Linked DNA regions of Mus musculus. The protein of the gene in region 1 interacts with the protein of each later gene in a pairwise test. Links are inferred from orthologs where the notes say so. Each region holds a gene or a part of one and is shown on either strand. Other genes may lie near its edges.

Region 1 (3,808 bases):
GATGATAAAAGGCCTTAGCCAGCACTAAGCTACATCGAGGGACTAGGAGGCTAGGGAAGCCACCAAGACAGAATGACAGCCACATGAGGAAAACTCGGAGGGACAGGGTGCACAGATTGCAGTCTGTGTGTCACTTGCCTCCCCCAGCCCTCCTGAGGGCCTCTAGGCGTCGTTGGTTCCCAGAAGCATAGACTCCAGCCGCTTCCTCAGCTGCACATCCCTTACCCCCCACAGTGCCGCTGTCGCCCGGGCTTCCGGCTAAAGGACGATGGCAGGACCTGTGCCGACCTGGATGAGTGCAGCACCACCTTCCCCTGCAGCCAGCTCTGCATCAACACCCACGGAAGTTACAAGTGTCTGTGTGTGGAGGGCTATGCACCCCGTGGCGGTGACCCCCACAGCTGCAAAGCTGTGACCGGTGAGACGGGCACTTGGAGGGTGAGATGTATTTCAGGCAGCTGTGGGATTGGGCAGCAGGTGGCAGGTAGGGAGAGGGCTTGATACAATGTAGCTGGAGATAGCCTGGGGTACCAGGGCTGCTGGAGATAGCCTGGGGGACTAGAGGTGCTGGAGATAGCCTGGGGGACCAGAGGTGCTGGAGATAGCCTGGGGGACCAGGGCTGCTGGAGATAGCCTGGGGTACCAGAGCTGCCAGAATATACCTAAGCTTGGAGCTGAGCCGAGACCCTCCTCCTACAGATGAGGAGCCATTTCTCATCTTTGCCAACCGGTACTACCTGCGGAAGCTCAACCTGGACGGCTCCAACTACACACTGCTTAAGCAGGTGCCAAAACCAAGCCTTCTTTACACCCGTTGTTGACTGCCCGGGCCCAGTATGGCCTCCCCAGTTCTTCCCACCGCCAGGCCATGGTTGTCTCCTTCTCCCTCTCCCTCCAGCCACATCCTGACTCCAGACATCCTTCCCCAGATACACATGTGCCCCTGCGGCAGCTGACTTCCCTGTCCCCATCCCAAACCCAGGGCCTGAACAATGCGGTCGCCTTGGACTTTGACTACCGAGAGCAGATGATCTACTGGACGGACGTGACCACCCAGGGCAGCATGATTCGCAGGATGCACCTCAACGGCAGCAACGTGCAGGTGAAAACAGAAGGCTGCCCCGTGTCGGCTGACAGGCACACCAGGGCCCCGCTGACGAGCCTCACACCCTCCCCATAGTCCTTTGCTGTAAAAGAGTCTCCCCTTCTCTCACACCTGTCAACACTGCTTCGCCCTGCTCCTCCCTGAGCCACAGAAACGTTCTGCTCGCTTCACCTTCCCCTCCTCTCAACTCAAAAGTATGCAAGCACAGGAGACTCCTCCTGCCTTCCCTTGAGTTCTGTGTGCTCTAGGCGTGTGTGGGTGGCCCCAGAGACCCCCTGCTTGGAGCTCCTGGTGATAGCCACTTACGGTCAGGAGAGTGGAGAAGCCATGCCCCGGAGACTGAGGGTGCCACCAGCTCCTCCTTCCCTGTGTTCCTTACAGGTTCTGCACCGGACGGGCCTTAGTAACCCAGATGGGCTGGCTGTGGACTGGGTGGGTGGCAACCTGTACTGGTGTGACAAGGGCAGAGATACCATTGAGGTGTCCAAGCTTAACGGGGCCTATCGGACAGTGCTGGTCAGCTCTGGCCTCCGGGAGCCCAGAGCTCTGGTAGTGGATGTACAGAATGGGTGAGTGGTGGGCAGAGGGGTTGGGGGAGCCCTAGAAAACACCCAAGCCCGGACAACCTGCAGGCTCCTGGTGGGAACAGTCTCTAGACTCTTAGGATTCACTGCTCCCCACCTGCCAGGTACCTGTACTGGACAGACTGGGGTGACCACTCACTGATCGGCCGGATTGGCATGGATGGATCTGGCCGCAGCATCATCGTGGACACTAAGATCACATGGCCCAATGGCCTGACCGTGGACTACGTCACGGAACGCATCTACTGGGCTGACGCCCGTGAGGACTACATCGAGTTCGCCAGCCTGGATGGCTCCAACCGTCACGTTGGTCCGTATGCTAGAGAGGCTGCCCAAGGCCAGCAGACCTGGGGGGCAGGGATCTAAAGGGTTTAGGGTGGCAAGAAGGCAAAGTGTGCAGAAACCACAACCCAGAGGTCTTGGGGTTTCAATACCCTGGCACTTCTCTGGGATGGGCCCAGACTCCAGGCCTCAATCCAGCTCCTTAGAGGAACAAGGGCTATCCCCTGTGCAGCTCAGGATAATGGCCTGAGGGGTGGGCACATGAGGACTTCCTGAAGAACACCTGTGCTTCACACTTCCTGAGAGAAGCTGTGACCTACTCCAGAGCAGTGGTATGGCTGCTGGACAGCTATCGCTGTTGAGCCTTAGGAAGTCGTAGAAGCATCAGGACCTGGGATTCATTCCCATCTCAGGGTTGTGATGGGGTTTAAGGAAGACAAGTAGGCACAGAACCTAGCCTGTACTCGGTGCCCACTACTGCTGTGTCTCCCATAGTGCTGAGCCAAGACATCCCACACATCTTTGCGCTGACCCTATTTGAAGACTACGTCTACTGGACAGACTGGGAAACGAAGTCCATCAACCGGGCCCACAAGACCACGGGTGCCAACAAAACACTCCTCATCAGCACCCTGCACCGGCCCATGGACTTACATGTATTCCACGCCCTGCGCCAGCCAGATGGTAATCGAGCAGAAAAAGGGGGGAGTGGCAAGCCTAGTCCAAGCATGAAAGGCCTGTTCTCAGCCAGGGTCAGGTTCCCTCCCCGGCACTGACTGAGCGTTCCTGCTGGGTCCCGAACTTACAGAGGCTATAGGTCCCCTAGCAGCTTCAGTCTGCCCTGGGCTCAATGTGGGGTCTCTGACAGCCAGGCCCTAAAGTAGTAGAGAGCCCAGAGATTAGTGAGTGTGGACCAAGAGCATCAGAGGAAACCCTGAAAGCAGACATATTCAGGGTAGGATAGAGATGTACCAAGGAGGCCAGACATCCTTTAGAAGGCTGGAAACCATTCCCGGCAGGACCCACCCTCACAGTCAGAGAAGCCAGTGGGCAGCCATGACCCTTCAACCTCTTTCTCCTGGCAGTGCCCAATCACCCCTGCAAAGTCAACAATGGTGGCTGCAGCAACCTGTGCCTGCTGTCCCCTGGGGGTGGTCATAAATGCGCCTGCCCCACCAACTTCTATCTGGGTGGCGATGGCCGTACCTGTGTGTCCAACTGCACAGCAAGCCAGGTGAAGTTCCTCCTAAGATGCCCATGCTGCAACACCCCAATCCCCTGACCCCACACTCCTGTTTCCCGGCACCCACTAATGCCTGCACCTCTGGCATGCCGACACCCGCACACTTCCTGCCTACCTCTTGTGTCCTCACGGCAATCCTTGTACACTGCCACCTTATAAACACCTCTAATACTGATCTCAGGAGGACCTAGAGTCCTCGCCTTCCCATGCTCTCCCTGTACAGACACCCCCTTGTCTGGCTTTCCTAGGTCCATTGTAGCCCTGCTTTCTGTCCAGCTCTGCCACCCCACAAACTCCCACTATGTCCCTGAAACGTTTCCACCCCGTGAAAGAAAGCCTTCTGAGTTCCTCATACCCTTTCCAACCCCTCTTGCCCACCTGTCCTCCAGTTTGTGTGCAAAAATGACAAGTGCATCCCCTTCTGGTGGAAGTGTGACACGGAGGACGACTGTGGGGATCACTCAGACGAGCCTCCAGACTGTCGTGAGTGTCCTCGACGCCCCCAAGGGATGGAGACCTCAGTGGCCTATTTGCTCCCTGCTCTTTCTTTTTTAGTGTGTGCGTGCATGCATGTGTGTATATCTATGTGTGTGT
Region 2 (4,258 bases), on another chromosome or scaffold:
AGTTTGCACAGACTGTAGAACATTGGTCTGTCCTGCTCCATTTATGTGAAGGGCAGGGTCTGTGGCCAGAGGTGACCTGGCAGGGAGGCTCTCTGAGCCACCAAAAACGGGGACTCGAGTCTTGGTAAACGGTGTTGTGTGAGAAAACCCAATAGAGAACCAGGAAGAAAGCACAGCTAGACCCAGAGTGGGTGCAAGGAACAGAAGCAACCACAAAGCTCTCAAGAATCCGGCCCTGGGGATGAGGAAGGTCCTAGGCCTTAGGGTAGGAGAAGCCAGTTCAGGACTGTGTGAGTGCAAAAGGGGTGCTAGATAGAAAACGCAGTGGGAAGACAGGTGCTGAGAACTGGGCACAGGAGTTCACACTAATCCCCCAGTTTAGCAGGAGACTCAAGAAGATTGTCATCAGTTCTTAGTCAGCTGAGGCTACATGGTAACTTCCAGGACAAACTGGAAATGAAAGAAAAACAAGTGATGGGGTAGTCCTGGCATACAGAGGCTTCACAGGGCTAAGAAACCAAAAGCATCACTCAGGTTATCAGGGGTGGTCAGGGCTCAAGGGGGTCTTTGCTGAAGGAGGCAGAGGCAGGAGGATCACGAGTTGGAGGCCAGCTTGGGCTACACATTTTTAGGCCGGGCATGGTGGCGCACGCCTTTAATCCCAGCACTTGGGAGGCAGAGGCAGGCGGATTTCTGAGTTCGAGGCCAGCCTGGTCTACAGAGTGAGTTCCAGGGCTATACAGAGAAACCCTGTCTCAAAAATCAAAACAAAACTAAAGGGTGGGTCTTGATAGAGGTGGCCTTCAGAGATTTCTGCGGGAGGTGATCCCAGTGCACAGGTGGGTGTTCCCAGCTCCCAGGGACAAGTATTTCTATCGTTTTTCTTCCTCCCCATGCTCATGGAGGGCTCATATTCCATTTCACACATGGGAAAGACAAGCCTTGGAACTATGAGGTCACTAATGCAATTCTCCACTGCCTGTTCACTTGTGGAACCAAGCTGTGGTCTTAGGTCACCTGGCCCCATAGCTGACTGCTCTTGGACCCCACTCCACCACCATCTCTCCTTTCTCAGCCATCTTCTGTAACCCTTTTCCTACCCCAGTTGCTGTGGAAGGCCAAAGACGGACTTGGGGAGCAGGATCTTGCCATCCGCTGATGCCCTCGATCTAGGTCCAGCTCTGAGGAGAGCAAAGCTTTGCCAGTGCTTGGAATGTCCCTGGGATGTGTAGGGAGGCCGAGGGGACCCAGGGCCACGGGATCGAAGCGTCAGCACTTCGGAGAGCGCCGGGGCGGGGCGGGGCGGGGGCGGGGCCACAAGACCCCAGCCGGCCCGGGGGCGCGCGCGGGGCGCTCTCGCGGGGGCCGCAGGCGAAGCGGCGCGCTGTCCGGAGCCGCGCCCGCCCCAGCTCAGTCCGAACCCCGCGGCGGCGGCGGCCTCCTCCACGCGCCTCCGCTGCTGCCGCCGCCGCCGCCGCCGCCGCCTCCCGCGCCGCTCTCCGCCCGGATGGCCAGGGCTGCACCCCGGAATGGCGGAGCGAGAGAGCGGCCTGGGCGGGGGCGCCGCGTCCCCACCGGCCGCTTCCCCATTCCTGGGACTGCACATCGCGTCGCCTCCCAATTTCAGGTAAGGATCGAGGCCCGGAACCTCGGGATCCTTGGAGACCCTGAGGGCGGCGTCCTTTCCCGGCCGAGCCCCCAGCCCCCACAACCTCCAGTCCAGGTTGGTGGCCACCGCGTGGCCCCCCGCAGCTCCTTCTGCCATTCCGTGTCATGGGGTGGGGTGATTGAGGTGGATCTGGGGCAGGAACCTGGGAGGTCGCCTTTCCCCTCCACCTTGGCGGGAGTGGGTCTGGGGTTTGGATGGAATTCCCGGTGCAGCAATCCGCCCAGACTTTATCCTGCCGCGTTCAAGGTATCTAACCCAAGGTGGAAGTAGGCTAAGGGGTTGGGGGCCCAGAGGCCCCAATTCAAAACCCTTGGTCCTTTAAGAAGAGTCGTGAACCCCTCTCCCAGCTAGCTTGGCCAGATGGGTCAGATTGCTAGGCGATCTTGGACAGGGTCTTCTGAATTTGGGCAGCTCCCTGGTCAGTTGTATCTCAGGACAGGTGCAGAAGGATTGGCCTCAACCAGTGAAACCCAATTTGCTTGAGGGAGGGGAATCTGCCTGTGGATATCCAGGGATACTGTTGGGGGGTCCCCACTGTGTAAAGACTCAGGACACCGAACTGAGCTCCTCTTTGACCCACCCCTCCATCTGATGTTAGACCAGGTGAATGAATTTCAGAGATGTAAGGCATGATGTGTTGAACCGGTGACTGTCCTCTCTTCACCTTTTCACACACATACACACATACACACACACACACACACACACACACACACACACACACACACACACAGAGAGAGAGAGAGAGAGAGAGAGAGAGAGTGACGAAGAAGAGAAGGGTGTCACTGCTCCAGAATGTAGAAGCTGAGACATACCTCATTGTTTCCCCATCAGGAGCAGGCGCCTTTCTCTCTCCTGGGACCCTTGCTCCAGCCAGGCCCCAGCTGGGCTCTGGCGCCAAGTTGTCATCTATTGAAGGGGTCTCTAGCTCCCAGGTCCTCAGGTGGGCAGACACACACACACACACACACACACACACACACACAGACACACACACACACACACACACACACACACACACACACACACACACACACACGATCTTAAATGGTATGATCAGGCCCTGAATCCTCCAAGGAGGCCCTAAACCCAGCTGAGAGAACCAGAAGGAGGGGGCCAGAGGATGGTTCCAAACCTGAGGAAAGCCTCCAGGCTAATGCTTCAGATTCTCCCTGGTAGGTCAGGCCTTTGCAGGGGAAGAGAATTAGCTGCGAGGGACAGAGGTTCGAATCCTGTTTCCACTGCTTCCTCGCTGCCTGATCCAAGCTTGCTTTTGTCTTTGGTCTCATCTGTGGAGTGGGTTAATTAATATTGATTCCTGCCTGGGAAGGAGACAGTATGCACCAAGTCACTGTTCAACAGGTAGCCGGCCACACTGGCAGAAATCTGTACAGCTTGTTTCTGTCAAAGTGTTTCTCCAGGGTAGTTCACTGAACCTTCACAACCATCCTGAGGGCCCACCCTAATCTGCCCTTTGCTGAGCTGAGGCGATGGAAGATAAGGAAGGCAGAGGGGCTAGCCTAGGAACCACAGAAAAATCTGACTGGAAGGTCAGGACTGGAACCTGAAACCAGGTCTCAGCCTTCTCTGTTCCCTCTCCCTATAGGCCCTATCTCTGGCCCAGGGTAGGCTCACACCCTATTCTGGCAGGAAATTGTTTATCATACAGGCCCGAGAAGCCAAGATGAAGGCTACTAGCCAGGGAATGTGTGGCCAACTCTGGGCTATGTAGAGCGGGGGCAACAGTATAGCAAAAGGCTGAGTGAGGAGTGGGCTGGCCTGCAGGACACTGTGCCCTAGCTGTGAGACAAAGCGGGCTTTGGAGATAACACTGGGCAGTGGGGCCCTACATGGCCTACTGCCTACTTCAACAACCCCCACTGCCCTTTCTCTTGTCCTGCTTCAGCAGCCACTGGTCTGGCTCCATTTAACCCTGATCTTCGATGCCCATCTTGTGACTCTTTGGTAGGGCTGTGGGTTCAACTGTTCTTTTGTTTTGTTTTGTTTTGTTTTGTTTTGTTTTGTTTTGTTTTGTTTTGTTTTGTTTTGTTTTTCGAGATAGGGTTTCTCTGTGTAGACCTGGCTATCCTGGAACTCACTTTGTAGACCAGGCTGGCCTCAAACTCAGAAATCTGCCTGCCTCTGCCTCCTGAGTGCTGGGATTAAAGGTGTGCGCCACCACGCCCGGCTGGTTCAACTGTTCTTAAAGCTGTGTACTCCACCACTACTGCGTACTTAAGCCCTTTGGGTCCTTGTTTTTCCTTTAATTTGTCTGCCCCTAATCAGGATGGTTCTAGAACTCAGGTGTGTGTGTGTGTGTGTGTGTGTGTGTGTGTGTGTGTGTGTGTGTGTGTGTGTGTGTGATTTCTACTCTGAGCTTCTAGGATGTGTAAGCAGTCTATGTCAGTGCTCTGCTCTCCGCACGACTCAGTCCAGAACAGGTGCTCAGCAGGGCTGGTTTACTACGGATGAAGGGTGGACGCACGGGGCCGTTTCTCCTGGAGAACAGAGTAGTGGGAAGCACCGTGTTGAGAACCTCGTGGGTCCAAGCGTGTGTGCTGCTGTAACCATGTGAATGGGTTAGTACTA

Evidence for each region.
Region 2: the proteins of Lrp1 (region 1) and Mapk8ip1 interact in a two-hybrid assay, tested with the Homo sapiens proteins (2 studies listed by BioGRID). The link is inferred for Mus musculus from reciprocal best matches to the Homo sapiens genes LRP1 and MAPK8IP1.

Annotation. Positions count from the first base shown.
Region 1 is NC_000076.6:127,551,558-127,555,365, reverse strand, and holds part of Lrp1 (prolow-density lipoprotein receptor-related protein 1 precursor), read left to right. Parts: intron 1-234; coding exon 235-418; intron 419-699; coding exon 700-785; intron 786-982; coding exon 983-1,102; intron 1,103-1,486; coding exon 1,487-1,674; intron 1,675-1,793; coding exon 1,794-1,999; intron 2,000-2,466; coding exon 2,467-2,655; intron 2,656-3,056; coding exon 3,057-3,205; intron 3,206-3,603; coding exon 3,604-3,697; intron 3,698-3,808. UniProt on the Homo sapiens protein: Endocytic receptor involved in endocytosis and in phagocytosis of apoptotic cells. Required for early embryonic development. Involved in cellular lipid homeostasis.
Region 2 is NC_000068.7:92,398,398-92,402,655, reverse strand, and holds the start of Mapk8ip1 (C-Jun-amino-terminal kinase-interacting protein 1), read left to right. Parts: upstream 1-1,392; 5' UTR 1,393-1,529; coding exon 1,530-1,627; intron 1,628-4,258. UniProt on the Homo sapiens protein: The JNK-interacting protein (JIP) group of scaffold proteins selectively mediates JNK signaling by aggregating specific components of the MAPK cascade to form a functional JNK signaling module. Required for JNK activation in response to excitotoxic stress.